Rhinolophus ferrumequinum: one gene and its partners. The protein of the gene in region 1 interacts with the protein of each later gene in a pairwise test. Links are inferred from orthologs where the notes say so. Each region holds a gene or a part of one and is shown in the gene's direction. Other genes may lie near its edges.

The links.
Region 2: the proteins of RAD23A (region 1) and MINDY3 interact in binary tests that used the Homo sapiens proteins (3 or more experiments, as listed by UniProt). The two-hybrid records come from large-scale screens. The link is inferred for Rhinolophus ferrumequinum from reciprocal best matches to the Homo sapiens genes RAD23A and MINDY3.
Region 3: the proteins of RAD23A (region 1) and USP25 interact in binary tests that used the Homo sapiens proteins (3 or more experiments, as listed by UniProt). The link is inferred for Rhinolophus ferrumequinum from reciprocal best matches to the Homo sapiens genes RAD23A and USP25.
Region 4: the proteins of RAD23A (region 1) and NGLY1 interact in binary tests that used the Homo sapiens proteins (3 or more experiments, as listed by UniProt). The two-hybrid records come from large-scale screens. The link is inferred for Rhinolophus ferrumequinum from reciprocal best matches to the Homo sapiens genes RAD23A and NGLY1.

What each region holds. Positions count from the first base shown.
Region 1 is NC_046301.1:48,674,764-48,682,432, reverse strand, and holds the start of RAD23A (UV excision repair protein RAD23 homolog A), read left to right. Parts: upstream 1-4,627; 5' UTR 4,628-4,696; coding exon 4,697-4,813; intron 4,814-6,176; coding exon 6,177-6,338; intron 6,339-6,503; coding exon 6,504-6,685; intron 6,686-6,822; coding exon 6,823-6,878; intron 6,879-7,011; coding exon 7,012-7,139; intron 7,140-7,414; coding exon 7,415-7,493; intron 7,494-7,617; coding exon 7,618-7,669. Other genes in the region: CALR (calreticulin), read left to right, coding at 1-177, 637-731, 820-1,029, 1,112-1,225, 1,312-1,455, 2,056-2,148, 2,233-2,436. UniProt on the Homo sapiens protein: Multiubiquitin chain receptor involved in modulation of proteasomal degradation. Binds to 'Lys-48'-linked polyubiquitin chains in a length-dependent manner and with a lower affinity to 'Lys-63'-linked polyubiquitin chains.
Region 2 is NW_022680355.1:2,201,532-2,209,600, reverse strand, and holds the start of MINDY3 (ubiquitin carboxyl-terminal hydrolase MINDY-3), read left to right. Parts: upstream 1-5,016; 5' UTR 5,017-5,246; coding exon 5,247-5,340; intron 5,341-8,069. UniProt on the Homo sapiens protein: Hydrolase that can remove 'Lys-48'-linked conjugated ubiquitin from proteins.
Region 3 is NC_046285.1:10,682,133-10,690,200, reverse strand, and holds the start of USP25 (ubiquitin carboxyl-terminal hydrolase 25), read left to right. Parts: upstream 1-5,054; 5' UTR 5,055-5,215; coding exon 5,216-5,260; intron 5,261-8,068. UniProt on the Homo sapiens protein: Deubiquitinating enzyme that hydrolyzes ubiquitin moieties conjugated to substrates and thus, functions in various biological processes including inflammation and immune response.
Region 4 is NC_046300.1:23,284,514-23,292,203, forward strand, and holds the start of NGLY1 (peptide-N(4)-(N-acetyl-beta-glucosaminyl)asparagine amidase), read left to right. Parts: upstream 1-4,667; 5' UTR 4,668-4,746; coding exon 4,747-4,877; exon of another isoform or gene 4,878-4,976; intron 4,977-7,690. UniProt on the Homo sapiens protein: Specifically deglycosylates the denatured form of N-linked glycoproteins in the cytoplasm and assists their proteasome-mediated degradation. Cleaves the beta-aspartyl-glucosamine (GlcNAc) of the glycan and the amide side chain of Asn, converting Asn to Asp.

The sequences.
Region 1 (7,669 bases):
TTTACGCCCTGTCGACCAGATTTGAGCCCTTCAGCAACAAGGACCAGACATTGGTGGTGCAGTTCACCGTGAAACACGAGCAGAACATCGACTGTGGGGGCGGCTATGTGAAGCTATTTCCAGATAGTTTGGAACAGACAGACATGCACGGAGACTCTGAATACAACATTATGTTTGGTGAGGGGCCCCACCCTGGTGCTGACCTCTGATTAGTTAGAGGGAGACTGAGATCCCATAGGTTCCTTGTATCCCATGACAGGTGGTCTTGAAAGCACAGGAAACACATAGGCTTTTCTTTGAAGGGTAAGGTGAGGGGATAATCACAGCAGCAATTTATTGCATTGTTATTATTGGTCTAAGTCTGTTAATATGTGTGATCTTACATAGGCATTTTCCAATTTTACAAGTGAGGGTACTGTATTCTAGAGCATGAATTTTTTTTTTTTCCAAGGCTCCACCTTAGAGACACCTTAGAGACTGTCCCTTAGAGACAGTCAGTGTCTGAGTCCTGTCTCTTGAGTCTTTACAGACCTAAGTTTAAGAGGTTTTCCTTTTGTGAAGAATGGCGGGGTAGGGGGCGGGGGCTGGCTATGGTGGGCAGGGTTTGGCCCTTAACTGGACCTGCTTCTCACCTAGGCCCTGACATCTGTGGCCCGGGCACCAAGAAGGTTCATGTCATCTTCAACTACAAGGGCAAGAATGTGCTAATCAATAAGGATATCCGTTGCAAGGTGTGCCTGGGGTGGTGACAAATGGCTGCCTGGGGAGGCTCAGAGGCCAGCCTGGTGGGTGGGGCCACTTACTTCCCGCCCTCTTCAGGATGATGAATTCACACACCTGTACACACTGATCGTTCGGCCGGATAATACCTATGAGGTGAAGATTGACAACAGCCAGGTGGAGTCGGGCTCCCTGGAAGACGATTGGGACTTCTTGCCACCTAAGAAGATAAAGGATCCTGATGCTTCCAAGCCTGAAGACTGGGATGAGCGGGCCAAGATTGATGACCCCACAGACTCCAAACCTGAGGTTGGTGCTTGGGCAGGGAGTCCCCACCATGGAGGAGGTGGCGGAGAGCTGGGCTGACTCTGATCTCCTCGTGTGCCCTCAGGATTGGGACAAGCCTGAGCACATCCCTGACCCTGATGCTAAGAAGCCTGAGGACTGGGATGAAGAGATGGATGGAGAGTGGGAACCACCAGTGATTCAGAACCCAGAATACAAGGTGGGCCTGGGGCTCCCGAGCAGGATGGGGGTACACAGTGGGGAGCATGCTGACCTCTTCTCACCTCCAGTTCCCTTCTTCTGCAGGGTGAGTGGAAGCCCCGACAGATTGACAACCCAGATTACAAGGGCACTTGGATCCACCCAGAGATCGACAACCCTGAGTATTCTCCGGATAGCAATATCTATGCCTATGAAAACTTTGCTGTGCTGGGCCTAGACCTCTGGCAGGTGAGACATGGAGGGAACAGGAGGATCCCTAGGGGACCTCAAGTGCTCAAGGTCACCCAGAAGGAAAGGGACAGGGATAGGATCCAACCCTAGGTAGGTCTGACCCCAAAATTGTCCTGTTTTGAAGAATTTCTTGGTCTGTTTCTATGGCGTTCTCACAGCACCTCGTTTGAGGTTCTACATGCTATGCTAGGCACTCCCCCAAGAACCTTTATGTGAACCAACTCATTAACTGCCCCCAACAACCTAGAAGGTAGATAGTCCCTTATAAAATGAGCTGTACGGGGACCAAATTTTTGTTTGTTTCATTCACTAATATACCTTCTGTGCTAAGAACAGTACCTGCCAATAGTAGGTGCTAGAAAAATACTTGAACAAGAGGAAGAGATCCCATTATACAGATAAAGAAACTGAGGTATAGAAAAGTCACCAGCCCAACGTCACGTAGGTGGGAAATAGCAGAGCTGGGGTTTGCACTCAGTCAGCCTGTATTTTAAGTGTGAAGTTAGGCTGCGGCATTGTGGAGTGGTTATGGAACTGAAGGGCAGGAGCGTGGTGTGTTCCCTCTGGCCACCCCTTTATCCATCCTCCCCTTCCCAGGTGAAGTCTGGCACCATCTTTGACAACTTCCTCATCACCAACGACGAGGCGTATGCGGAAGAGTTCGGCAATGAGACGTGGGGTGTCACAAAGGTGGGGCCTGGGTCCAGTTCTTGGCTGGGGGGGCAGGCAGGGCTGGCAGGTGGGGGCCAGGTTCTGAGTGTATGGTCTGTGCAGGCGGCAGAAAAGCAAATGAAAGACAAGCAGGACGAGGAGCAGAGGCTGAAGGAGGAGGAGGAGGACAGGAAGCGCAAGGAGGAGGAGGAGGCGGACAAGGACGACGAGGATGACAAGGAAGACGAGGACGAGGACGAGGATGATAAGGAGGAAGACGAGGAGGAGGACGAGGCCGCCGCCGGCCCATCCAAGGATGAGCTGTAGGGGCCGCACCGCCATTTCCGGGGCTGAACTGAGGCCTGAGCGCTCCTGCCGCACAGCCGGCCGCGCCAAATAATGTCTCTATGAGACTGGAGAACTTTCCTTTTTTTTCCAGGCGGGTTCGGATTTGGGGTGGATTTTGGTTTTGTTCTCCCTTTTTTTTTTGTTATTTGTTTTTTGAACTGGTGTTTTTGTCTATGATTCTCCCTCAGCCCTCACCTCTGGCCCTCATCTTTCTTGACCCTTCGCCGTCCTCTGTCTCTTCTCTCCCCATGTCCCTTAGTTCCCCTCCAACCTGGGGGCATGAGGAGGTGGGGAGGAGAAGCTCCAGGCCCAAGATTCCGACTATTCACCTTCCTGAATCCCAGAGTGGGACAGGAAAAGGGCGTGGTGTCCCAGACCCCCAGCACTGAGGAAGAATGGGGCTCCTAGGGCCCGAGCTCCGACCCCTCACCCCCACTTCCTCCCTTTCTCCCTGCCTCCAGAACTGGGCCACTTCTGGGTGGGGCAGTGGGTTCCAACTCAGCTCATACAGAATGTAAGAACTACAAACAAAATTTCTATTAAATTAAGTTTTGTGTCTTCTTCCTGTGTCTCCTTCTGGGGGAGGATGGACATTAGGGAACCAAAAGTGGCCCTTTTTTTAGGGGTTGACATTTGAGTAAGGCTTATTTTTCAGCCACTGAAGTGTTGGCTGAGTGTCCCATAAGGTTACAGTTACCCCCACAAAGCAGTGGGAGATGAACTAAGTACCATTACAAATACTCTATGTATCAACTCATTGAGTCCTTGCACCAAACTGGTGAGTTTTGGTTCTAACACAAGTTCAGTATGAGAAGACAGGTCCAGAATTTAGTCAGAGGTGGAGCAGGGATTTAAACCTACATCTTAGACACCATCTCATACTATTTTATACTGAATCGTATGTACTTCTACACCTATTAGGGAGCAAGACTACGTAGAACAATTGGATAATTTTTAAACCTTAATGCCAGCCAGTGGTAAAAGCTATTCCTTGTGTACTTACAATCAAGGAAATAGGCTCAGAGGTGTATATAGCTTACCCATGGACTTCAGTGGCCAAGTTGGGATTTGAACCTCTTCAAGAGAGGTGACTCCAGGGAGGGTGCAGAGGCTGAGATAGTGGCAGAGGAAGGTCTGGGCTCCTGAGGCTGGCCTAGGCCCACTCTTAGGGTCCATAAAGCTGCCACTGAAGTCTAGTAGGTGGTCTGCAGCTGATGACCTTGTGGGAGAGGTAAGTTCAGTTGGGCATGGCCTACCCTGGTGGAAGCTTCTAGGCTTGGCACACAGTAAAGAAAGCAGCAGCAGGACCTGGTTATAGTTGGGTGTGCCTGAGATGTGACTGCCTGCTTGGTGCCAGGCTTGGGAAGTCTGTTCTTTGGATGGGCTCCCTTCAAGCTTCATCCTGGGTCCTGTGGCCCAGCTCCACCCCTCTGGGAAGCCTCCAGGATTGGTGTATCCAGGGCAAGCTTATGGAGAGAATTATGTATTTAGCGTAAGGAGGCCTTGAAAGTTAACATCTTAAATACTTTTGGGGTCGCACTGGGTATAGTGGAGTGAGCAAAGTAGTTGGGGAGGGAGTAGCGCAGAGGTGGGAGACCCAAGAACTTGAACGGTAGGGATCATTCCAAAAAATCCAGTTCAGGAATGAACGAATGAGTCCACAAAATGGCCCGTGTTCCAGCTTCCACAGCCAAATGCTTTTTCTTTTTTTTTTAGAGTTTTAATTTCTTTATTTTTCGTGACCTTCCGAGTATCTTTTCCAGTCCTGAGTAATTTTCACTCTCAGGGCCTTGATCAGGTTCCTGTCAGGGTGGTGGACCAGAATAAAACTCATTTGGAACGTGAACAAAGACTTTATAGAGAAACACAAATAGCTATAACAAGTACACGAAAATTTTTGTTCTACGTCATGAAATTAAACGCAGGAGGGCCTGAAAGGGGACTTTGGAGCCATTTTATGGCCGTATGACGTCACCGCAAACGGGTATGGCGTCACTGACAGGAAATCACGTGACGAGTGTGCGCGCACAGAGATATACACCCTCCCCTTCCCGGGAGCCGACCTTACTCTGCGCCTGGTCCGAGGGCGTTCTTGTGCGCATGCTCGCGAAAGCCGGGTTGTGGGTGGGAGGGAGGTGCGTAGGTCACGCATTCTAATAGTCGGCGCGCGCAGCGCCTGCCCCGGAAGCTGTCGGCGCGCGGCGCGGCTGGGCGCTAAGATGGCGGCGGCGTGAGTTGCATGTTGTGTGAAGATCCTGGGGTTGCCCCATCGCTCGGCCCCGCCATGGCCGTCACCATCACGCTCAAAACGCTGCAGCAGCAGACCTTTAAGATCCGCATGGAGCCTGACGAGACGGTGCGAGCCAGGCTGGAGCCCGGGGGCGGAGTGACTGGTGCCGCGGGGTGGGATGGGGGCGGGGGGGCCCGAGATCCCGGTGGGAGGTGCAGGGGGAATTGCGCTCTCCCAACCTGCCTGACATTCCGGAACCACCGCCTCCCATCCCCGCCACGATGGTCTCCGGCCTAGCCCCTGGCGGCTCTGGTGGTGCTCATGAGCGGTCTTCGGACGAGGCCCCATCCCGGGACGCCTGCCAGGCCCCGGCTCCAATGTCAGCGCCTTTGCGGGGCGCAGGAGCCACAGGTTCAGATTCTCGGTTGGGTTGCGCTCTCCCCGACGGGGATCTCTGAGTTCCCAGCTTTGCAGACGTCTGTCTCCTCGGGACGTTGGTGGCCGAATCTGGGAGTAATGGCCTAGAGATGCCGACTGATGACTGCAACACGATGATACTGATAATAAATGGTCTGAGTTTCAGTGGTCCGTGTTTGTTGGCCGTTTGTTCTTTGCTAGTCGTTGGGCATTTTACTGTTGTTATGTTACTAAATCTGCAAAACAGGCTTTTCATTTGGGGACTCTGACTCCCCACTTTACAGATGTAGAAACCTAGGATTAAGGAACTTTGCCACAAACACAGTGAGTATTCGCAGAGTTAGGACTCAAATTCGGTTCTTCCTCATGTTAGAGCCCAGACATTCTGCCTTTTTAGCTGAAAAGAAACTTAGGACCTAACCAGCCTTAGTGAGTGACTTAACTATGTATTTGATACTTTTTGCACAATACTCCATGAGGGAGACATTGACATCCACTTTTTGTAGAAAAGGAAACACTCGGGTTTTTTGACCTGCTCAACTATTTGAGTTTGGGGAAGTTACTGAACCTTTTTGTGCCTCCGTTTTCTTAAATATGAAATGAGGCTAATGGTATCTATCTCATAGAATTATGAGGCTTTAAAAGTGTGATGCATATACATTTATGACATCTCTGTCAAATTAGATGCTTTCAGTAAAAACTGACCACTGTCTGCAGTGTTAAATGAGGAACTCGCCTGTCTCCCTTTTATTTTTCACTTTTCATTATACTTTACACTACCTGAAATATATACTTGTTTTTTTGTCTCCCCACTTGAGCATCATCTCCATGAGAGCAGAGTCTTGATTTTGTCCCCTCCGGTGTCTTTAGTGCTTGAAACAGCGTCTGGCACATTAAGTGTTCAGTAAATACTCAGTTGAATGTTGGGATGATCAAATGAACTCGTATCTAGCATGCTTGACTGAAGCTTCGCCTCTCCATCATCAGGGCTTGCCAGCCTCTCCCCTCAATCACCAAACTAGAAGGGAAGAGAGAATCTTGGGGTTTGCAATGACTGTACCCCTCCCTCCAGGTGAAGGTGCTAAAGGAGAAGATAGAAGCTGAGAAGGGACGTGATGCCTTCCCGGTGGCTGGACAGAAACTCATCTATGCTGGCAAGATCCTGAGCGATGACGTCCCCATCAGGGACTATCGCATAGATGAGAAGAACTTTGTGGTTGTCATGGTGACGAAGGTGGGTGAAGTGTGCTGGTTGGGAGGGCATGTTGATTAGCTTGGAAGTTGAGGAGCTTGTGTGCCCTGGAGAGATTAGTCGTGAACAGGGCGGGGCTAGGAAGTGGCGGGATGTTGGGGCGTGATAGGGATACTGATGCCTGTTCCCTTTTTCTGGGTGTCACAGGCCAAAACCAGCCCAGGCACCTCAGTACCCCCAGAGGCATCACCCACTGCTGCCCCAGAGTCCTCCACATCCTTCCCGCCAGCCCCTGCCTCAGGCATGTCCCATCCCTCACCTACCACCAGAGAGGACAAGAGTCCATCGGAGGAATCAGTCCCCACGACGTCCCCAGAGTCTGTGTCGGGGTAAGGCAAGGAGCAGCAACCTCGTTGTGGGGCCCTATTCCAGCACATTGCAGTGCCCACATATACGGTCCCACACACCCGGGGGGAGGGCAAGCCGCCAGAAGTCAGGGTCCGATTTCTCTCTCTTGAATTTGCAGCTCTGTTCCTTCTTCAGGTAGCAGCGGGCGAGAGGAAGACGCGGCCTCCACGTTAGGTGGGTGGGTGGTCCCCATGGCAGAAGTGACTGGGTGCCCCAGCCATCAGCTGGGCCTTGTGTGGGTTTGGGAGGGCCTGGGAGCTGCCCTTCCCTCTTGTGGGTGACCCAGACCTTGCTGCTCCCTCCACAGTGACGGGCTCCGAGTATGAGACGATGCTGACAGAGATCATGTCCATGGGCTATGAGCGGGAACGGGTCGTGGCCGCCCTGAGAGCCAGCTACAACAACCCCCACCGAGCCGTGGAGTATCTACTCACGGTGAGGTGGGGCTGCTGCCCCCTAGGGAGGCTTCCAGGGAATACGTGGGCTTCAGCACTCTGATAGGTGGTCAGGGAGGTAAAACCTGCCCCCAAAAGCCTTTGGGTCATGGTTCGAGCCAGGAAAACCTCCCTGCTCAGGAGGCTGGACGTGAGCAGAGGGTTGGGCCTGTGGAGGGCGGGGCCCAGGCCTCACCTGTCTCCTGCCAGGGCTGAATGTGCAGGAGGGAGGCAGCAGGTGGTCTGTGCATTAGAACTAAATAGGAGCCCTGACAGGGAATTCCTGGGAGCCCCGAGCCAGAACACGGCTCTGTCCAGGAGAGCCAGGTGTCCGAGCAGCCAGCTACAGAAGCAGGTGAGTGAGTTGGGATGTGTGCATGTGGGGTGTCTGCTGTCAAGGCATCTGACTTCTCTCCCCCCAAACCCTATGCTTCTGGGAGCCCAGCCTGGGGTCTAACCATATGCCTTCCTCCTGCCAGTGGGAGAGAACCCCCTGGAATTCCTGCGGGACCAGCCCCAGTTCCAGAACAT
Region 2 (8,069 bases), on another chromosome or scaffold:
TACAAGGTCAATGTGCCCTCAGGGTTGGTTAATGGTGAAGCCTCTCTTCCTGCCTTAAAGACAGCCACCTTCTCATTGTGTCCTCAAGTGGCCTTTGGTTGTTTGCACATGGAGAGAGAGAGAGAGAGAGAGAGAGAGAGAGAGAGAGAGAGAGAGAGAGAGAGAGATCTGGTGTCTCTTCTTCTTCTTAATAAGACACGAGTTCTATTGAATTAGGACCCCATATTTACGGCCCATTTAACCTTAGTTAATTCTCTAAAGGCCCATTTCCAAATACAGTCACATTGGGGGTTAGGGATTCAACATATAGATTCAAAGGGGACACAGTTCGGTCTACAGAACCCTCCTCAACCTGATATTCCTGACTCATTTCTCTCTAGCGACGCAAATGCCAAGCTCCTACCACACTATTTCATGTCTAAAATGCACATCCTCCCTTTCTTCTCTAGTCCCAATCCTATCTAGTTCAAACTTCTCTGAGGTTTTCTCCATTTCAAATTCAGAAGTAACTCATCCATCTTTGCTCCTATCTTTGGTACTTTGGTACTTTGGTCAAACCATTAATACAGCTAATGTAAGAACAGTATTTTTTAACATGCCTATTTCTTTTTCAACATACAGTTTTCTCTGTTAAGTCCCATAATCATTGGACGATGTAATTATTATTAATAAGCATGTTTTATGAATGTGACAACTGAGCCTCAAAGAAGTTGTTTATTCTTTCTATTGAAATTGAGAACATTAAGAATGTGTTTTTTGGTAAGTGATGGTATTATTCACTGATTATGAAACATTGAAAGAGGAGCAGGTTTTATAGAAAAAAGATGTTGATTTGAAACATGTTAGGTTTCAGGTGCCTATGACACATCCAAATGTGCTAATATTAAATACCTGTTTAATATAGTCAGTTTGGGGTTAATATACAAGTTGGGCTTTGGTATTCTCATTTCATAACATTAGTACAAGTAAGTCATAAGCGGCAAATAAGCTCTCTTATTCTATGTGTTAATGAAGAATAATGCTAAATTACTTGTTTATATACTTGTTCAAGATTCTTCTTCTTCCTACTCTGTCCATATATTTTAACTTCTAAACAGCCAATTTTTAATATCATAGAAGTGGACAAGATCTGAAATGAATGAGATCCTAAGAGATTATCTAAAATTCATTTATAGATGAAGAAAACACAGTATAGCCAGTTAAGTGACTCATCCAAGGTCACAGTTAGTACCCAAATAAGAACTAACATCTGTATGTTCTAATTCCAGTCAAAACTCTATTGTATTATACCAGTGATTCCCAAATATTATTCTGTAGAACATCAACTATGTGAGAAGCTCAGTGAATAAAATGACTCAAATGTGTCATTTAACCCTGAATACAATCCTTTCTCTTGGAGAGTTGCAGTGAACAACTTGTTCAACTTTACTTAACCCAGCCTTTAATAATAGAACCCCCTTTACACCATATGGATATGGTTCAGGCACATTGAAAAGTTCCTTGTAACTACCACAAAGGTTGCTGAAGTCCAAAATAAAGCATAATGCTATCAAAAATGCTTTGGGAAATGAGGCACTGTACCAAACTTGAGTATGACAGTGGTGAGTTTAAAAGGAACTTGGTGTGCTTAGTAAGAAAATTATCCTGAGGTTAGGTGAGGCAAAGGAAACAGTTTTGTTTTTGTGCTAGATTTATGCTGTTATTGGAAGAGATAGGGCATATAAATGAGATCGTTTTTATTAATAAATGAGTATGGGATTGTTTTTATTACCTGCCTAGAGCTTATTAATTTTATTGGAGAGTGGATTTTTCAAAGATTTGATTTCTCCTTGATAGGTGGTGGTGCAAATACACAAAAGTAGGATTTGCATACTTCCACTAGAGAATTGTTCTTTTCATGGTAGTTAATAGCACCCAGGTAATGAAGCTAATGTGCTTTGTCAGGGAAATTTGGGGGAAAACAGGAAAATAATTAAACACAGAGTTAGAGTTTGATGACGAGGAATTAATTCTGTTGCTGTGAAGTAGTAAAGATGGCTACAGAGAATTAATCATGATGGAAATCTCGGCCCAGTTTTATGGAAGTGCCTGAACTTGAATTAGATAGAAAGAGAGGCATTACTAATAAAACTTACATATGAACAGGAAGTTTATGATTTTATAGGACTCTCTTTTAGGACTAAAGATCACTCATGCGACTTATGTACATCTTAATGCTACACATCAGTTTAATCAAAACTACAGATGGTCCTAAGGAAAAAATGCTAAAATATGAAGCACTATAAATACTTCAAAGAAAATCTACATAATTTTAAGTCATTATAATAAAAGAGAAGGCCATTATTGTCCTATACCAGATATAGACCAGATATAAGAAAATTTTAAATAAATATTAATTTGCATTTCTATTGTAGTTTAAGCAAGTTTACAATTTAAATTTAAATGTATAACTAGTGAATAATTAAGCAACGTAATTTAACATTAATCAAATATTCCTTGTTAAAAATGTCATGCTAATTAAAAAATTTTAAACATTGTAAATAAAGACTATAGCCTAAAGGTGAAAAGGACATACCTATCAATATCCACCCAAGATTTTTGCCAACTTCACCAAAGCTGGACACTAAGAAAAATCACAGATCAAGAAATATTCTACTAAAAAACAAAAGCATTTTGAAAGGGAAGCTTTTACTTCATATCTATAGATAATTAAACCTATAACAACCATCTGTATATTAATGGAAAGAAAACAAATGTGATGTAGTATTATACAGAGGGTGCTCCAAAAATGTATACACTTTTTAAGAAAGGAAAAAACTGTATTAAAATTGTAATACTCAAAAAATAAATACAAGTCATGTTCGACCTTTACAAGAGGTGCTCAAAGTGGTTCCCATCAGTGTCCAGACACTTCTGATTATGGCGAACTATTGCTTGAGCAAGGTTGATCAAAGTGGTAATAACATCGCTTAAAATGTATATACACATTTTTAGCACCCCCAGTATATACTATACTATTAATAATTTCCTATATTAATGGAAAGAAAAATGTGGCAAGCTTTTAAATTTAGAGGTTTGCCACTCATAGGCTCCATGAATAAAGGCCTTTCTATGTCTTTCAAGAAGGGAAATAATTTTGTAAATTGTCAAGCACCATGCAAATATTAAGATATTTAACTGGACTAGTCAATACTACCATGTTTCCCTGAAAATAAGACCGGGTCTTATACCAGTTTTTGCTCCAAAAGATGCATTAGGGCTTATGTTCAGGGGATGTCATCCTGAAAAATCATGCTAGGGCTTATTTTCTGGTTAGGTCTTATTTTTGGGGAAACATGGTATATCCCCTGATCCTTCGCTTGCTGGAAGATAGTGAATTCCTAAGTTCTAGTAAAGGCAAGTTTCATTCATTCAACTAATACTTACAGAGATCCAGACTCCATACTAGGAACTATGTTCAAGACTCCATACTAGAAACTATGTTCAAGACTCCATATTAGGAACTAAGAATAAGATATGTCCTTGGCTTCCATAAATTTATATCCCAGGAGAAGAGTAAATACGTGTACTTGTTTGCAAATTGTGAGGACAGAGTTTAAGAGAGTAGTTTCCAAGCACTTGGCCTCACGTGGAAAGGTGCTGGCTCGGGTAGTAAATGGCCATCAGCTGTGGCTGGTTGGCCATCAGCTGTTACCAGTTAGCCATTAGCCACTGATATAACTGCCGTGGCTGCACTGGTTGGTTGGTTTGGTCGGTTGGCAGAGAAGTGGACAGTGGATTGGGGATCGAGTGGCTACTGTTTCCTGTGTCTCCAACCCAGTGGCCAGTGACACTATAGTGATATGACTCCCCTATCTTTGGCTCCGTTGGTGTTCCTTTTTGGCCTCACCATATCCTGCATTCTTGTGCGGGAAGCAGGACCAGAGACCCCTCATGACACCAATACAAGGATGACAATAATTGTCATAAGCAAGTTACAAGCAAGGTAGGTACTATGGAATTTTAGAAACTATCATTTTTACTTTAGATTATAATGACTGCAGGAAGCTTATTACAAAGTGGCATTTATACTGTCTTGAAAAACGAGTAAGATTGGTTTGCAAAATTAGGGTAAAGTGTATTCCAAAGCGAATAAAAATGAGGAGAAAGGCTATGGATATGATCAGGCACTTTGAACAATTCCTTTTCACTACAGCAAAGGTTGCTGAAGTCAGAAATAAAGTATAAGTCAGCAAAACCCTCTTACTCGTAACTAGGAAAGAACCCAACAAATTTTACCCTTTTGTTTTAAATTCAAAGGTCAGTGAATGTAAAGATCTCTTCATTTGTAAGCAGGACAAATAGAAGTTTTCACACATATTACATTTAACTGAATGCTCGTCAATGATTAAAACCTGGACTTCAGTTCAGGTGTTGCCCATGTAAGTCTCAAAAAGTGGAGATGAAATGCTCTACCATTTACAAACAGGCTGCTTTGAATCTGTTTTCCTATAAATAGCTTCGTAAATCTGCATTACACCTGGTAGAAATATTTCCAATGCGCATCACACCTCCCTCTTCACTTATGATTTTAATAGCTGCTTCAACTTTGTATGAGTTACATTGAGGCACAGATGCTGACAGCCTTCACTTTAGTGAGGGCTCTCGACACAGACGTGCATGTTTTCTCATTGAAACTTAACCATGATCTTGCAGTTGTAATTTAGAGTAGTGAATATTACACATTTTAAGGAATAGACTATGCTTTAGGCTGTAGGGCTTGGGTCTCAGAGCCTCCAGCTAAAACCAGAGCAGTGCGCAGACGGAGGAAGTGGTTCAGGATGTCAGAAACATGCCGACGCCCATGGGATGGGGTGTGCTTACTACACAAAAGCCACCACTTGCACTTAAAAGCCTGGCCCCCAGCTCAGTAACACCAGTGGCCTCCACCGCGGTCCGTCGCTCTTCCCGCTCCCCATTTCCACTTCCGGGGAGGTAACTCCCGGGCCCTCCGGGTGTGGGGCGGTAGCAAGAGAGGAGCCGGAAGTGGCCCGGACACTTCCGGTACGGGAAACTCTTAGCTGCCGGTCCGACTGGGCTTGACAGGCTCGGTCCCTGCTTGTAGATCTCTCCATTCGTCTTCCTTGCGTCTAACCTTCCAACTCTTCTGCTGCTGCCGTCCGCAACTCCTGTCTCCGGAGCCGCCCCTTCCCCATGTTCCGGGGCAGGAGTCCTGGAAGCAACAACCCGCTCGCCGGTAGCCCATCATGTCCGAACTGACCAAAGAGCTGGTGGAGCTGGTATGGGGCACCAAGAGCAGTCCCGGTCTCTCCGACACCATCTTCTGCCGCTGGACGCAAGGTACCCCGGCCGGGCTCTCACTTCCAGCGCCGCTTCCTTTGCCCTGGGAAAGCCTGGCGGTGACGCTTCTCGCGCCAGCCAGCCCCGTCGCGTGCCCCGCACTCTGTCCCAGTCCCCATGCTCAGCTCAGAAACCGGGCGCTCGAGCAGCTCGCTGCCGTCTTGGGGGTTTGGGGGCCGGGGGAGAGGTTGACCGGGAGAATGGTTTCAGCTGTCCACTAAAACCTGAAGCTCGTTTGCCACTCCCTGGGCTGCCCTTGGGCTGGAGGGGAGAAGGGGTGGCTGCGTTGTGTGACACTGAAGGTGTGTCCTGTGTCCCGGTGTCAGTTTCTCAAGAAGTGCCGTGGCCGCCCGAATCTTTATTCCCTGACAAGGCTTTCTGTTATTGGTGTTTGGTCTAATTTTGGAGAGAGGGAGGTCCACGGGGAAGTCAAAGTGGCTAATTCCAGAAAGCAGTTTTGTTGTCTGTGTTTTAAGTATGTGGTTAGCCATGGTACTCCGTGCATAAATTCACTGTTGCTTGCTATAAATGTTCTCTTAACCCAAAGCATCCCCCCGTCTTGAGATGGTTTATGGATGGTGGGACTTCCCGTGCGGGTCTAATTAGCCAGACAGGATTTTGAGTTATTTAAAGAGTTTTATTGATAATATGAATAATAATGAAACAAAAATGACTATTTATTGAATTTGTGCCAGGCTCTGTGCTGGACACTTTATACTAGTAATTATCCCTAATTCTTAAGTTTTAATATTAAAACACCACAGACACATTACTTAAGGTGACTTAGGAAAGATTGGTGAAGTTAAGTGGGGATAAGAGTGTCGTCTCTGGAGTCGGTAATGTATGTATGTATGTATGTAAAACAGGCTAATAAATAACAGCTGTTTATTACTATTATTATTAAACCATATCCTGTTCTCAAAGGATTTGGGGGAATTTTAGCATAGTAAATCTAAGTCCCCACTTCAAATGTGTGTTTTCTAACAGAAATTCAGGGTATAAGTAAGCCCTTCCTCCCTCCCAGATATGTTTCCTTTAAGAACTGATAACTTTAGAATCATAATGTATTATACTCAATTAGGTTATTTAGTCCATCGCTCGTTTTCAGAGGTGAGAAAAATGAGTCCTGAAGGAAGACTAAATGACTAGGCCAAAGTTGTACAAATTGATAAAACTGGGGAAAAGTTATGTGTAATTAGGTTGGCTCTTTTTATGCATTTTATTATATCACTTAACTAATATTTTCTGAAATCTTGGACACCCACGTTTGCAGATTTTATTTTTAAGCTTACTTTCAACTTACTTACTGTAATAGTAAACAGCTGTAAAGTACACAAGACTGTGAAGGATTAAGAAAAATTTAAATTTAGTGTGATTGGTCAACATTAATTAAGCATTTACAATATAGAATACAGGTAATATTCAGCCTCATTTCTGTTAATATGTGATGCAGATTCAAGGAGAATTCAGAGAGGGAGTTCTCGTCATGGTTAAGAGCAGGCTTTGGAATAAGCATACTTAGGTTCTAGGTTTAAGTTATTTAACTTATTTAAGCCTCAGTTTCCTTCTCTGTAAAATGCAGATAATAGTAGTGTCAACCTTATAGGGTTGTTGTGAGGATTAAAGACGGGTAAATACACTTAGCACTTAGCACAATATCTGACACATAGTAAACACTCAGAAAATGGTAGCTTGATTTCAAAACTGTTTCATTGTAACCCAAGCCAAAGATCCCTCTCTGGCAGTTCCCTGGCAATTATAAGAAGCTGTTATTGTTTATTTGATAATCATTATTTAAAAATAGAACTTTGTAATGACATTAGGATACTGTGCCACAGTTTAGTGATGCAGAAGTTCCTCAATAAGATTCACTCAATCAATACCATTTCAAAATAAATGGTATTGAACTTTTTTTGCTTTTCAGAGAATGCAGTTATATTGTGGATATGTAATTCTTCAGGGTCTTAAATTGATCAAGATTTTAAGGCGACCAGATATGTATTTTTAAGTTATAACCTCTGAATCAGAAGGCTGTTGTTCCTGGTTTTGCTATGTTAACCATTGTATTCATTTATTCATTCTTAGAGGCAGAAACAATTGCTAAAGATTACTGTGGCAATAATTTGGGATTATGGGACTAGATACAAGACACTGCTTTGCTGCATTTGCCTCACTGCATTCATATTGTGACATTAACTTTGGCTTTATTTCATAGTCTATAACTGCAATGAATTGGAAGCTAATCTCATTAGTCTTTTGGAAGCAAGTTACAGATATAAAATGTTTGGGGGTAAATATTTATAGAATTATGTCTAGGGATATTCCATTTATAAAACTATATTGATTGGTCATGTTAAATTCTTTTGATATGTTAAAATAATAAGCTGCCACAGCACATACTTGTTTTTTTTTTTTTTTCTCTTTTGATTTGTTTGGCAGTTTTAGACACTATGTTAAGCAATGAGCCTCAGGAGTAGCACAGAGTTATTCTTTTAATTCATTAGGCTGTTTTAGATAATTCTCTTCTGCAAATCCTTTTTCTTTAAAAACAAAAGTAGGGTTTTTTTTGTTTTTTTTTTTTTTTGTGTGTGTGTGTGTTTTGCCAGTTTTTATTTTAAAGGCGATAAATCACAATTTAAAGTTGTTGTTTTAAACGGAAATTTATACTCTTGTTTGCTTTCCTCTTGCTAAGTTGCCTAGAATAGTTTTGAAAGAAAAGCATATGTTTT
Region 3 (8,068 bases), on another chromosome or scaffold:
CCAAAAGTAAATTTCTGATTTGCTGTATCTCTAGTACGTATTTTTGAAAATTAAAGACATTTACATCTGACCTTTGTGTCTTTTCTACCATCCAAGAGAGAACACAAATAATCACCAAGGGTTTGAAGCTAGCAATAAATAGCTGCTTAGGAATAACAAAGTAAGTTCTTTTGTACATAATTTGATATATGAAACTATTACAGAAATGTCAGTGGAACAGTCCCTTCTTAGCCTGTCAGATTTTGTAAACTGACCTACTTAACTCTGCTTCTTGTCCTAGACTCAGAATATTCAATCCCAGCTGACTAATTCTTCTTGGTGCTCATCTACTGGTTTTAACTTCTCAATTTATAGGTCTCAGTGAAGCCCTAATAATAATAATAGCAAGAACTTGCTCACATTTATTATGTACTTACTTTTTGCCTTATAGTGGTCTAAGTAGTTTACATTTACTTAATCATTTAATCATCAGAATAACCCTATATTATTATTCTCATTTTATAGATGGCAGAACTGACCCAGAGAACATGTATAACTTAAATTCATGTCAGAACAACAAAATACTCTCTAAATATTTAAATCAAGGCCTACTTAATTCGAAGAATGGGTTATACAGGTAACGGAAGACCTGAGAAGACAAACAAGGACAGTGAGTTAAACCAAGTTTAGCAACAGCAAGAACTCATTTTGACTCTTAAATTGGAGGGATGATGGAAGCAAGCAAAATTTCCACCAGGACCTTGAACCAGGGTAGGCCAGTCTGGTGAGAGCTAGAACCCCCAAAGACATATGGCCCAAGGAGATGCCACCCAAACGGAGAAGAAGGAGAAAGAGAAATAGCCTGGCTTTTTTTTTTCTCTCACGCCCTCTCCCTCCTTCCCCCAATACAATATCTACGTCTCTCATTGGCCAAATCCATTCTCAAACCAGCTGACCTGAGAGCATGGACTATGCAGGGATAGTTTTTTCTGTGATTCAGAGAAAAACAATAGAAATGCATGGAATTTACCTGATAGCAAACAGGCAAGGATTATCCAAAAGGCTTAAGTTGCTTAAGATCATAGAGCGAGCAGTCCCTGGGTTGTTCTTTGGGATTTGTATATGTGTAGCCATCATGGGCCCTGAATATGGAAGACAGAGGTCTTGGGAAGTGACATTAACTTATATAATTTTCTCTGTCCATATATGTCATAGGATAATTTCAGGGAAGTGTATGCCTACTACTGTAGAAGAGGAAGAAAGGTAAGAATGAGAAAGGGCCTGGGGACTAACCATTTTCATTGCCCGAGAATGCCTTTGGGCACGTTCAAGGTAAGGGAGCAAGTGATTCACACAAGAAATCACCACTTTTGTGCTGGCTCTCAGTTGATAAAGCGTAGCTGTTATCCAAGTAGGACCTTGCTTTTAAAGCAGAACTTGCAAATCAAAAAAAAATAGTTCACATTAAACTAGATTTCTATTTCAGAACTCTTTCCCCCAAAATTATTCTAATTGGAAATGTCAGTATTGGCAGAAAATGAAGAGGTCTATCTATCCTTTAAAGTGTTAATACAGCTCGTAGCAATATATGAGGTGATAGGATGGAGCAGGAAAAAGGATATTTAGTGGCACATAGGCATGAAGTGTAGGATTAAGTAAAGTAGATTAAATATGACTGTTTCGAGCTGAATTGTGCTCCCCCAAAATTCATGTTTTGAAGTCCCAACCCCTAGTACCTCAGTATATAACTGTATTTGGAGGTAAGGTCTTTAATAAGTTGGCTGAGTTAACATGAGGCTGTTAGAGTGGGGCCGTAAGCCAATATGACTGGTGTCCTTACAAAAACAGGAAGAGACACCAGGGGAGTATGCGCACAGAGGGTCAACCATGTATGAAGAGGCAGCCAGAGACTGTCATCTGCAAGCTGAGGAGAGAGGCTGCCAGAGGAACCAATCATGCTGGCACGTTTATCTTTGACTTCTAGCTCCAGAACTATGAGAAAATAAATTTCTGTTGTGTAAGCCATCCAGTCTGTGATATTTTGTGATGACTTCCCTAGCAAATTAAAAGGTAATATTTAAAGATTCTCAATGGGTAAGGCACCATTGGCTGCTGGAGATACTAAAATGATATGCTTTGTAATGTAAAACAACATGGCTTCCAGAACCACAAAGCTGTGCAATTGGAATGAGAAGTTCAAATTAGACATGCACTGCAAAAGCATCAATAAACTTGGTTTCTCTCCTTCATGGCTGCCCACTTCATTCAATAAGCATTTTATTGTGACTGTATCAGGCAGATAGCACTTTTACAGTTTTGAATCTATGAATGCCCTATCACTGAATGGTACCATTGTGACATCATAGAAAGCTCCTCTTTGAATAACGAGGTTTAATAATAATAATGCTTATGGTTTCCTAATTGGTGGTGGTGGGGGGGAGTTATCCCAGGATGTCAACATACTTACTTAAAGAAGGAAAATAATTCTTAACCTCCTTGAAATAGATTTAAGAACCACTCTTTTATCATGGAAATTGTTCAAATCTACACTACTAATTAAATGATTCTCTCTTATTCTTGTCTTACAAATGTGTTTTAGTAACATATGAAATTTTTGGTGTCCAGAAATGGATTTTCAAACCCTTTCTAAATAAAGAGAAATGAATAATCAAGATAGAAGAAAACCAATTTCCTTGGTTCACATACAAGTCACAATAGTGAATATTGTTGGAAACATCATTTTGATCCAAAATAGAAAAATAGACTTGTTAAAAACTAAATTTCACATTTTATAAGAACTCTATCACTTTATGTGTTTACCTGAATGTCAAATATCAGAGTAATGGAACAATTTAGGAATGATTAAATAGTATCCTGAGGCTATCTTACTCTAACAACTATATATACTAAGGCTGACTTCTGAACAGCACAACTGACACTGAGCAAATTTTGTAAATAAATTGGGATATCTGGCAAAGGGTCTTATGTGAGAATTTATCTCAAATTCTCAAATTTCCATCTTTTACTCATTCCAATTGTACTCTTTTTTAAAAAAGAACGCATATAAGGAAACTTGAAAATTTCTTATTAAAGTTCTACAAAATAACAATTAAGTTTAAAAAATATTAAATAGGAAACCATCAGAAGCAAGCTGGGAATCAATGCTCAAAGTTCGCAAGTATGACTACCCTCTAAAGAGCTTTTATTTGGGTATAAAAATGGGTATGATAATTTTTTGTGTGTGGAATTAAAACATTTAATTCAAAGAAAGATTTATTGCCAAATTCTTGAGACTAATCTTTAGTATCGGGCAATATCTTTTTAAACCACAGTACTAGATTTTATGTTAAATTTAACTTTCTTAAATTCAAATGTCATGAACCAGATAGATTTAAAACAAAATCTATAATACAGAGAAACATGAAGATATGTCGGAAAGAACTTTGGTCTATAAATGAGGAAAATGGGTTCTAGTATGCCTTCTTTGACAAGTCACCTCTTAGGGTCTCAGTGTTCTGATAAAAAATTTCTGCATTCTATCAGGACTGTTGCATTATTCCTAAAATCCTGGGTTTCCAACCATCTCACTACTTTTCAAATTCTTCTGGCAAACACACAGGATATCAATAAAATAAAGTTTGTAATTTGTCAAAATCAAATGAGCAAAATATGTGAAGACTCGAGGGAAAGATCTCAAAAGGTGGTTAAAGACATCTAAGGTACAAAGTCAGTTGTAAAGTGAACAGATTTGTTACAAAGACTTAAGAAGTACTTGATTCAGGATTATTAAATAAAACTAGATAATATTTCAATGATCATTTACCAAGTTTGTTTTTCTTGTCAACAGATTAAAAACCGGATTTGCATGTGTGTATTGTGTTTGGGACAATATGCACTGATCATTCCGCCCCTCCTACCGCAGCACCCTCACCTCCAATCCCCAGGTTAACTCCTGAACGTCAAGATATTTTTGAGGGTAGAGATTGCTGTCTCAATGTTCGGTTTCCCTTATAATTCCATATATAGTCAAGTATTCCATGCTGGGTGGTTAATTGATAGTTTGGCAACTGGAATACTAAAATTATGCACCATGTAGGCAGTGATACTTCTGTAATGTCTGTTGTATAGACCGTAATTCATTTACATCAAATCTTGGAGAAGTAAACCTTATTTCTCCAGATCCTGGCAGTGACTGGCACATGTACGAATGAATGAAGTAGACCGAGAATGCCAATAATCATTTATGTACTGATTACTTAAGGAGAAAAGTGCATTCCAGCCTAAGGACTTCTGACAGCCCTACGCTTAAATCACTCTTTTCCCTTAGGGCAAGTTTATTGCTTGTGAAATTCCTAGAAATGAGAGGGCAGAGGACCGCAGACGTAGAAAGGAGCCGGGGTTCGGGACCCAAGCGGTTTGGGGACGTTACGGGGCCTAGACAGAAATGTTTTGTCTTGGCGGAGTTGGGAAAGCCGGCGACCGGACAAGTCCAGGGCGCAAGCAGGAACGCAGCCCTCCGCTCTCGGCGTGGAGTTTAGCGGAGCCAAGTTCTGACGTCGCGTAACCTGCCGCAGGGGCGGCTCCAAGGCCCAGCTCGCCAGGCGCGCCCTCGCCCCACCCGGGGGCGCCGGGCCCGCGCCAGGCGGGGCGGGGCCGGGACTGGGGGGCGGGACCCCGGGGCGCTCCGCCCCGCCCCGCCGCCCCGCGGGTCACAATGTAGGGTTAGGGCGGCCGGCGGGCGGGGCTCGGCGGGGGAGGAGCCGCCGGGCGGGGGCGGTGACGGCGGCTGGGGGAGGGGAGGGAGGAGGATAGCGCCATTCTGGCCGGCCGCTCCCTCCGTTCCCTGTGCCTTCCCCGCAGTGGCCCGTGAGCGCCCGCGAAGGAACGCGCGCGCGCGTGACGCGGCCCGCCTCGCTCGCGCCCTCCCGCGCCCCAGCGTCCGCCGACCGCCCATGGCCGGGGCCGCGGCGGAGCAGCCGCGCTGAGGCGGCCGCACGGAGCTGTGGGCTCGCCGCCGTGGCCCTCGCCGTCCGCGCCGCGCCGCCAGCCCGCGGTCCCCGCGCACGCCTGCCGCCATCGCCTTCGCGCCTGCCTGGCCGGGGCGCTGTCCTCCCCGGCCGTCCGCGCCGCTGCCTGGAGCTCGGCGCAGCGTGGCAGCCAGGGCCGGCGGAGGCGCGAGGAGCCGGACGCCGCCGCCTGTGTCGCCGCCTGTGTCGCCGCCGGTGCCGCGGGGGCCATGACCGTGGAGCAGAATGTGCTGCAGCAGAGCGCGGCGCAGAAGGTGAGGCGAGCCCGCGAGCCGGCGTAGCCCGGCCGCTCTCCTCATTCCGACGTGCTGTCCGCACCCGCCGGGACCCCGAGCTCCCCGGCCTCCCCGCCCGCGCTCGGGCCTCCGCGGCCCGGGCTGCCTCCCCCGCCACCCGCCGCCTCTGCCGGTGGTCTTCGGGGGTGTCGCGCCCAGTGCCGGGCTGCGTGTGGGAAGCGGGAAGTAGTTAGCGGGTTTCAATCCACTTCCTTTTGCTGATTGTTTTCCTGCAACCAACGGAGCCTGGTATTTATTGGGAGCGACTCTCACATTCCTACACTGCTTTATATGGCTTCTTAATTAAACTTTATTAAAACAAGAAGAGGAATAGCCAGTTGTCATCCGTTCTGAACACAGTTTGTATTTCGAAGGCAGGGACATTCCAGGCCTGCTAGTTTGCAAAAGGGTCTCCTCCAGAATTGAATTGCTTGCCTGGCAGGGCAGGTACGTTTACCAGGTGGACTCTATGTACAAGTAGAGGATTTGGTTGGTTCCTTTTCCTCTTTCGGTTTCTTTTTCTTTTTTTTCTGAAACTGCCCCTTAAGAAAGGAAACCTTCCTGGCCATGTTTGTTCCAGGAATCTTTTGTCCCCTAAGTTTGACCTTGTTCCATCGTTCACCCTTGATTCTTGCCTCAGTCACACATTCAAATGGTCACTCAAGTTTCAAAAAAAAAAAATCTGTTTGTGAAGCTTGAGATCGTTCGTTGTGAGTAGTGAGAGGTGCTCCTTTTATTCTAGATTTTGCTTTCAGAATCTCCAGTGCACTATCATGGCTTGAACTATGTTCTGAAGAGTAGTTGTTGGCTATGACTTATTGTGTGTGTGTGTGTGTGTGTGTGTGTGTGTGTATGTGAGAGAGAGAGAGAGAGAGAGAGAGAGAGAGAGAGAGAGAGAGAGAGAGAGAGAGAGAGAGAGAGAGAGAGAGAAGCATTTGGACAAAAAGAAAACAGTGCTTTAATCGTGTTAGAATTATGGAGATAACTGGTTTACTGTCAACGGCTGCCAAAGACGTGTTTGGCTTATCTGAGCGAGGGATAGTGCCCCGCCCTGTTACAGGTTTGACGTGGTTATATCCTACCTGTGCTTGGTTATAGAATAGGGCCTCCTGCCCTAAAATGGGCTATGCATTTATTTACAGCCTGCTAAGTTTTTGCTTTGAAATTATTTTTAGAATTTTATGATGGTACACGAGGTAATTGAAGATGCTCAAGAATTTTGGAAAGCAAGGATAGTGCATTGTTATTTTAGGCACTTTGAGAAAGTTGTCTTGGAACTTGTGTATTGGTTAACTGTTACTGGTAAATTTAGAAGATTATTGCACACTGCAAATTATTTGCAGAGTGAAATAATTTCTAGATTTAATAATAGGACAACAGTTCATCTCCTAAATCCCCTCTATTCTATTCTGAATATCTAAAACTTTAGTTTTTGATGTTTGAGTATATAATAAAGTGTTAATACTTAGAACAGGATCTTGGGATCATATGTATACTAAGTAATGTTTAATAGGTTTGTTATTTTTATTTATAGTTCTTTTCAGTGTCAAATATTAAAGTCTATTTCAAAGTGGAAAATGTAGCTAATTCTCACGTCTCTTAAATTTGAACAATGGCAAGAAATTTGTGAGTTTTTTATTAATAAAATTGATTTTGACTTAAAGTATTTCTTTAGTATAGAACCAAATACAGATCTGCATGCTTCAGAGTTTTGTGCATAAAATTGTAAGATCAGGAATCAAATTACTGAAATTACTTGATCTTGGTCATCAAGTCCAATTTCATAGTTTAATGGACCCTCTCCTTACATAAAGACAATAGTTGTTAAATTTAAAGTATTATCATTATGATGCTATTTTTAGAGTGTGTATGTCAGATCATTTCATTGATATTGGGGAATTGTTTTAGAGCATTATAATTTATTATACTTCTGTCATGGTATTTATGTGTTTTTTAAAAGAAACAATGTGTTTGTTTGCTTCCTGTATTTATGTACTATTACTTTGTTACTCAGATTAGAACTATTTTAAAAATATTTATATGGGTATAAATACTTTATACTGTCTACTTCAAATAAATTGATAGATTTAAATCCACCAAGCTAGTAACTAGGAAGTGGACTTCAAGCTAGTAACTAGGAAGTAAACTTCATACTTTACAAGAAACAAAAGTGAAACTCTTTGTTTTTATTTCTAAACTTGATGAATTACCAGTAAAGTGAGAGTTGTCTAGTGCGTATTGCACAACCAAAATTTTAGTCTATTTTCTGCTCTCCTTAAAAAAATGGTGTGTGTGTGTGTGTGTGTGTGCGCGCGCGCGTGCACATGTATAACATTAGTTTTATGTAAATAGCTGTATCTGGTGGTTGGAACAGTTTCCTGTACTTTCAATATTCTTTTTTTGTTTTCTTCCAGAAAGATGTGTGATTAGTGATAATTTTTTTTAAAGCAGCACAACACAAGACTTTCATGGGTCTTTTGTTTACCTACAAAGTAGCTTGTTACAGTATAAGTCAAAGGGCTTCCTTTTTCTCTGATGTGTTCTTTGCTTGATTGCTGAAGTTTGGCCATGCCAGTTAAGAAATGTAGGAAAACTGCAGAGCTGCTTTTCTGAGGTTTGGATAATGCAAATGAGGGGAGTTGGAGGCAGATTATGTACAGTTAAAGCTTGTCATAGTTTGATCTTGAATATGTATCTTCAGCTTTTGTGCTTTATAGTTTTCCTAAGTGTAGGATCCTTGGATCTTAGAAATTTGATACATAGACTCCGATCCCAAGTGAGGATTCT
Region 4 (7,690 bases), on another chromosome or scaffold:
CATATTCCTCACTACAACACCATGGTATTTTCTTCAATCAAAATCTTCAAAAGCAGTCCACTTATCATAGCTTTCTATTCAGATTTTGGAGGTTTTTAAATTTTTTGTATTCTGATTACAAATCATCTTTCCAGATAGAGCTCCCTTTCTTTATTAAATAGATTTTCACCCAGCAAAATTGATCTGCTCACTATCCCTAGTTTGACTTTAGCTTTTCTGTTTTCATCTCTGTATCTTTTGCTTGTGCTTTATTTTCTTCGACATTCATTTTCCTCCTATTTTGTGCTAAAAGCTGGCATACAAAAATGTATAGGACATGGTTCTTGCTTTCAAGAAGTTCATAGTCTAGTAGAGAGACACAGCCATGGAACCGTGCAAATACTCACAGGAACAGGTGGTATCAGAGAAGAATATAATTATTATCATACAAAGGAAACAAGTAGGTCATCGCTACCTTCCAAAGTCAGGAAAGTCTTCAAAAAAGTGATCCTTGAGCTGCATCTTGAAAATAAGTAAATGTTTATCTAGTAAATTGAGTGGGAGGGCATCCTGACAGGTGGAGTAGAACAAAGGCCTGGAGACATGGTATCTTCCACAAACTGCTAGTAGTTCAGTATGGCCAGTGTTAGATTTGAGGTGTGGTATGAAGCATGAGAGTAAACGGACCAATCCCAAAAAGTCTTAGGTGTCATGCCAAAGATTTTCGATTGGGTACTGCAGATCAGAGATGATAGCCTGGCAGTCCTGGTCTAATTTGGATGGCAACATTCTTATATTGAATTTAAATTCCTCTGGGAAAGATATGGTAAACTCATTCCCTTCACCAGAGTCTCTGCTATTCCTTTGGCAAGAAGAAAGCCACTTTATACATTGAAGTTACTTGCTTGGTTCCTGACACCATTTGACTTTCGAATGTGGGCGAGAGGTAGCCATAGGAAGCCGTATTCTTTTTTAACCAGAAGGATAACATGACCAGATGTGTGCTTTAAAAGGATCACTGTTACAGTAGTGTGCAAGGTGAATTCGAGGGATATGGAAATGGATATGGGAAGAGAGTTAAGGCTGAAGAAAAGATGATGAGGCCTCCAACTAAGGTAATGGCAAGGAAGAGAGAGCGATGTTGAGGCAACATTGCTAGGATGTTGTCCCTATTAAATGGGGGGAGGGGTTTCTCACTCTAGGAAGTCCTCACTTCCTTAATCTCCAAATGTAAGGGCTCTATTCAAATTCTTCCTCTTACACGAAATGGAAGCTCACAGTGAAATTTTCCTTCCTCTACACCAGTTCTGAAGCTTTACTGTGCATCAGAATTACCTGAAAGACTTGCTGCTACATAGATTACTGGGCCTCACCTTTAGCTGGGGCTTGAGAAGCTGTCTTCCTGACAAGTTCCCTGGTGGTGCTGCTGCTGCTGCTGCGGGTCTAAACACTGTGTAAACTCATGACTTCCATGAAGCAGGGCCTGTGCTCCACTCCTTCACTGCTTCGTAGTGTCTACCACAGTGCTTGGTATTTAGTAGTCACTTCATAAATACTGGTGAATGAATGAATGACGAAATGAATGAATAAATACATACCCTCACATTGGCTCCTAGACATGCATCACTTTGTGCACTTCTTACTAGGTAATTTTTACTTTTTTGTTTCATTAACTAAATAGCTCTCTGTATGTAAGATATTATCATTAGTTGTAGCTTTCCTACTAAATTAAAAGTCTCATGTCAATTATCTCTGTTTTGCACACATCAGGTGCTCAATAGTTGTCATTTGATTATGTAAGGCAATCACGGTATAACGAATCACTACACCGATCACTGAAAGGCTTCAACGTATCTGCTTGCTGATGGTCTTTATTGAGGTCAGCATTTTCTTTTTTGACAAAACATCCTGGGGAAATTGTAATGGTTTAATTCTTTTTTTCTGCTCTATTTAAGAATAGTGCCATCATGTGTCAATTCTAAAGATGACGTGATTAATAAAGCTTGAATCCTGGAAAAGAAAATCATTTTGGAGCAAAAAAATCAAGTAAAAGAATGGAAGTGCAAAGCTGATTTAATACGAGAACATTCTTTAGTTTAAAGCAATGGTGGGATAAAGAGATTAAGGGTAGCTTAATATTTTTAATTTTAGTTGTAAAGGAAACTGAAACATCAATATTTTCAACTTGACTTAAATGGAAGAAGCAGACGGGGAAAAGAGTAAGTCAAAGTCCCTTATTATAGTAATAAGTTCCCTTGCTAGCTTTACAAATGGTGGTATCCAAGAGAGATTGTTAAGTTACTCAAGAACTTTAATGGAAGTATTGGTAAACAGTAATTTGCAAGGATTTAAATTCCAGGTAATTTAAAATAACATACTGAATTACCCTTGAACTAATCATATCTATGATTTTATGGACTGCACATTATTATCACAGTATTAACTCTGGCATTGGTTTTCATACTGTTAACATGTTCACCACAAAGATACTGGAAGGCCATTATCTCTGTCAAGTGGAAGTCTCAGCTAAAGCATTCTGTTCCTCCTACACACACACACACACACACACACACACAGTCAACCTACTTCACTTCTAGAGCACCACCACTTCGGCGTTTTGCATATACTGGGTTTCCTCCTAAGATTTTATTTGCAAAAAAAAGTGTTCTGTTGCTTTTAAAAAGAAGTCATAAATACTATATAGTATATAACTTTATACAGTTATTATAAGGATAAATAAATGTGCTAATGGAAAAAAGAAACTCAAGGGGAATATAATTTGTGATAGAAACGGCTAGTTATAACCCCAGTCCTCCCACCTTCCATCATTTATAGAGGGTTGGGTGGTGCCTGTCCAGCCAGGGACTGACTACATTTCCCAGCCTCCCCTCCTTTTATCTAGATAGGGCTTCCTTTTTGCCAATGACATGGTAGAGAAAATGCTGTATGTCATTTCTGGGCCCATGCGGTTATGATGCAGGTATGCCTTTTTCCCAACCATTAACTAAATTCAGAAGTCTCTGAAGCTCAATTGCAGAAGTTAGGAAACTACAGGCCAAATCCAGCAGGCTACCTGTTGTTGTAAATAAAGTTTCATTGGAATATGGCCAAGCCCATTTTAAAATAGTGTCTATGGAACTATATAACTGCAGAAGCAGAATTATTAATAAATAGTTGAAACAGAGACCTTATGGCTTCAAAACCTTAAACATTTACTACCTGGTCCTTTAAAGAAAATGTTTGTTGACCTCTATTCTATAGGATGGAAAGTGCCTCGGTCCCTGGATCATTACATGGAGGAAAGCGTCCCAATGACTAATGACACCTACATTATTAAACTATTAAGTGAGCAAGAAAGACATTTCTCTTGTGTTAAGTCACTGAAAATTTTAGTTACAGCAGTTAACAGCATACTATGGGTTAAACACACTATTCTTGGAAGCTGTTCTAAAAACCTACATATTTATTAAAAACTTCCCAAATATCTGGCAGATGAATGGTAATTGAAGTAGATGGCATAGCTCTGGGTCTTGTTCATAGATACTGGAAGAAAATTGCAAATTTTAAAAGCAAACAAGATAAAGCATCAAGAACAGTTTAAAAAGTTAGGCAAATATCTTTTAAAGGTCAAGAAAAATATTTGTTGAGGTTTGGAAAGCAATTTCTGCAAAGAAGGAAGCTACTGGTACATTTTCAAGGGCATGGTAAGGACAGGATGGATTATAGAGGTTAGGATTCATCTTCTAAAAAGAATAAAGGTCACTGATTACATGATCTACCAGAAAAACAAAAAAATAATACTTATCCTTACTACTATATGGAATATTTTTATTGCCTTTCCTTCTCCCCACTCCCTATTCTATTCTGTCTACTGGGTATGTGTTTTATGCTGGTCACAAGGTAAACTGAGTCCATAAAACACTACATTGTAACCTGCGATTGAAAAACACTTCTTTACAGGGGCGTTATACTATTTAAGCTGGAACTTATGCAAGAGATTTTAAGGTGAAAGACATGATCTGAAGAGAAACCAGAGCATAAGAGATGTTAAATCATTCATCTAATTCTAAAAAGAATCCATATACCAGAAACCCAGCAGAGTTTACAGCCACGCGGTTTTTGCTTTTTTTGTTGTTTTTTAAACGTTTGTTGCTCCTTCCTTCTGGGGTCTCATCACATCTATGCAGGAAGGCCTGACAATCTTCGAGAAGGAAGCTCAAAGATTGTTTTATTTGGAGGAAAGCGTGTTTGAAGGTATAGGGGTTTTCCCCACCTCAGTGGCTGGATCAATCGGAGTAGGGAGGAACCAGGTTTCTGCGACCCACCGGCCCGCACAGGACCGCACCCGCTAGCCCCGCCCCTCCTAGACGAAGCCCCCCGCCCCTCTCGGCCAGCCCTCCCACCTACTGCCACGAACGCCCCACCCCAGCCCTGACTACGAGGTACCCCGCCAGACCTCCAAGGCTTCCCAGCCCTGATGAGCAAGCACCCCGCCCCTTATGGTGGAAGCCCGCGGGGCCCTGACAACCTGGTTCCTGTCGCACCCAGTCAAAACCCCTGAGCCTCCGAACAGCCCCCAACCGGCCCAGCCAAGGCCCCTGCATTCCCATCGCCCTCCCGACCAAGATCCGCACCCCCAGCCGTGCCCCAGGCCCCGCCGAGCCGCGGGCCCCTGCGGACCCGCTGCCGTGGCCGCCGCGCGCTGAGGCGCCTGCTCAGTGCGGGACGCGGCGCGCGAGGGGCGGCGACGGGCGCGGGCGCTCAAGCATGGCGGCAGCGGCGCTGGGCGGCTCTGCGGACTCCACGTCCCCTGCTGTGGCCGAGCTCTGCCAGAACACCCTAGAGACCTTTCTGGAAGCCTCCAAGCTGTTGCTCACCTACGCGGACAACATCCTCAGGTGCGGGGCTGCGCAGTCGGTGGGGGGACGGGCAGGGCGCGGCGCCTGTTCGGCCGGGTTTGGGGGTGCCCGGTAGGGCACCGGAGGGTGGCGAGGTCAAGAGGTCTAGGGGCCTGGGCCTGGCTCTCGCTCTCTGTCGGGGCCCAACGGCCGAGGCCCTCGAGACCCAGTCAGGCCCCACCCTCGCCCGAGAAGAGGAAGTTTGTACTTGTGACTTGGCACCTGAAATCGGGGAGCTCCGGGATGAAGCGGAGGTCCCGGGGATAGGGTAAGGCGAGGCAGGTAGGAAGGCGTGTCCCCAAACACTTGCCGCTGATCTGGTTAACTGTCTTACATGACAGGACATAAACTGTAACTACCTTTCGTTATCACTGCGTGGATTTTACGAAACAGGGTGCCTTAAGTTTCCATATGCTTATCAGGAGTGAGTCACTGACAAAATTCCCAACATTTTGTGAATATCCTAATACCTACTGAAGTGGTGGGCTTTTTACCTTTTTTTATGGTCTTTTTCTTCCCATTTTGTTGATTGAAACATTATCAACTATTACTTTAAAAGTTAAAATGTTCAGATTAATATCTGGATTCTACTTTCAAAATGATCATATAAGTAGGAATCAGTGATGATAATTACCTTGGCTAAGAGGAATTTATTCATTTCTTTCCAGCATAAGCACATTTCTAAATCTCTGAGGGACCTTGCAGATTTGGGGAATTGGGAGTCAAGTGTGATTATTCCTTTTGAATCATTACCACTTCAATTCTTAGATGGGAACGATGTGGCGGGGAGAGAAACGGAACTGAGGTTAAAGGAGCTGCAGGTGCCAGGTGCTTTAGTGTGTTTCTTAATTTATCAACTTGCCAGGATTGTCTAGGTTCTCTGTGCCCCCTCAGGCCCTGGCATTTGCTCTTCTAAGTGGTGAGTATACGTATGAAGTCTAAAAGGAAATTTCTCTCACTTTCAGGTTATAGATTTCATATGACCCTGTTTTCAAGACATTAGTTACAAGTGCAGTGTTTTAACTCATGGCAGTTATAATAGTATTCAGATAGATAACATTAGTGATTTAAAAGTAAATTGAAGGAAAAGCATAGTGAGCCCTTATTATGTCCCAGATGTTACAAGAGATGCAGCATGTGCACTGTACACAGCTACACAATTGTGACTTATGTGGGGACTGCCTTCCTCCTCTGTGACACCTTCTCTGCTTCACCCTAATCGGTCTCACAGCTCTTCAGAGCCCAAGGATACCAGTGGACTCTGCATGAATAAATTCATAGGCTGAGTGCTCAAGAGCCCATCGGCTGGGACCTTTCACCTGGAAAGCCACCAAACTATTGAAACCCCACTATTCAAAAAGGGAGGTGGCTTTGTAATAAGTATTCACTTCTACTTTCAATCCAATGAAACCAAAAATGCTACTAAGATAAAGGTGCTTTGAGGAAGGAAATCCTTTGCATGCAAATAATGGCTTGACATCATAATCATTATGAATGTTTACCACACTCATAGAAGAAACTTGTCATGCTGTCAGTTCATGTTAGTCTTTACCATGGCTTGTGTTTCAGACCTTTAAAAAGTGTTTATCTATGAGGGTATTTAGGAGTTTGGAACTCATATAATTGGAGATGGTATGAAAAACTACGCTTTTTAGTCTATCTTAAATAATAGTAGTAGTCCATGCCCTCATGTTGTTAGAATTTAAACACCTTCAGGAGTCGAGGGAGAGGTGGGGGGTGGTACCACCTCTCCATCCCCTTCTAAATCCAGACTTGCTAACCTCTTAACAGAAAAGCTCCATATCTCTGTATTTCTAGCCACACTGCATTACAGATCTGCTAATCTAACTTATTTGAGAGTAGTGAACACCGAGGTTTTCTATTCCTTTTGCTGTTTTGGGAAATCTACTAGCATTAGAGATAGGGACTGTGTAAGGGATGTCTTGATATCCCTTGCTCCTACCTCAGGGTCTGATACAGTATTTTATAGAATGAGAGCTAAAATGAGAATTTCATTAGCAGTTTTTAAAAGATTTTTATTAAAATATAGCTAACATACACTATTAAAGTCATTTCAGGTGTATACCATAGTTATTCAACATTTATATACCTAAAGAAGTGATCGCCATGATAAGTCCCGCAACCACTGACACTCTATCACAATATTGTTGACTCTACAGAGAACATTTTGATCATTCCCAGATTGGAGGGGGGTTGGGGAAGGATGGATGAAAACAGGAAAGGGATTAAGAAGTTCAAATTGGTTGTTCCAAAGTAGTCTTAGGGATGTAGGGCATAGCATAAGGAATATAGTCAATAATATTGTAATAACTATGTGTGGTGTTAGATGTGTACTAGATTTATTGGGGTGATAAATGGGAGGGGGTTGGGGTACAGGGTGAAAAAGGTGAAAGGATTAATTAAGAAGTACAAATTGCTTTGTTTGTGTTTAGCAGTGATACTTGTCACTCACTACACACAAAGGAAAATAATACTTTTGGTTTTGTTTTAAATTTCTGCTTTGGATGATGTTTATCCTATTCCCCAACTAAGAGTTATAAAGCTAACAAAATTACAGAATAAAATATATGCTAATTTGCATGTATAATATGCCATGGTGTTGAACCTTTTAACTTTTTTCAGTTCACGGACTTCTAGATAAAGATGAACTGTCTTCAGTAATATCTACTTTCTCAAAAATCTGTAATAGTTTCACTGGCATTCTACGTGGGTTCCTTTAATAATTTGTTCTACTCATTCTTTCTTTAAAAAATTGATTTTCTACTAACATGCTTTGCAAACTGTGTACAGTT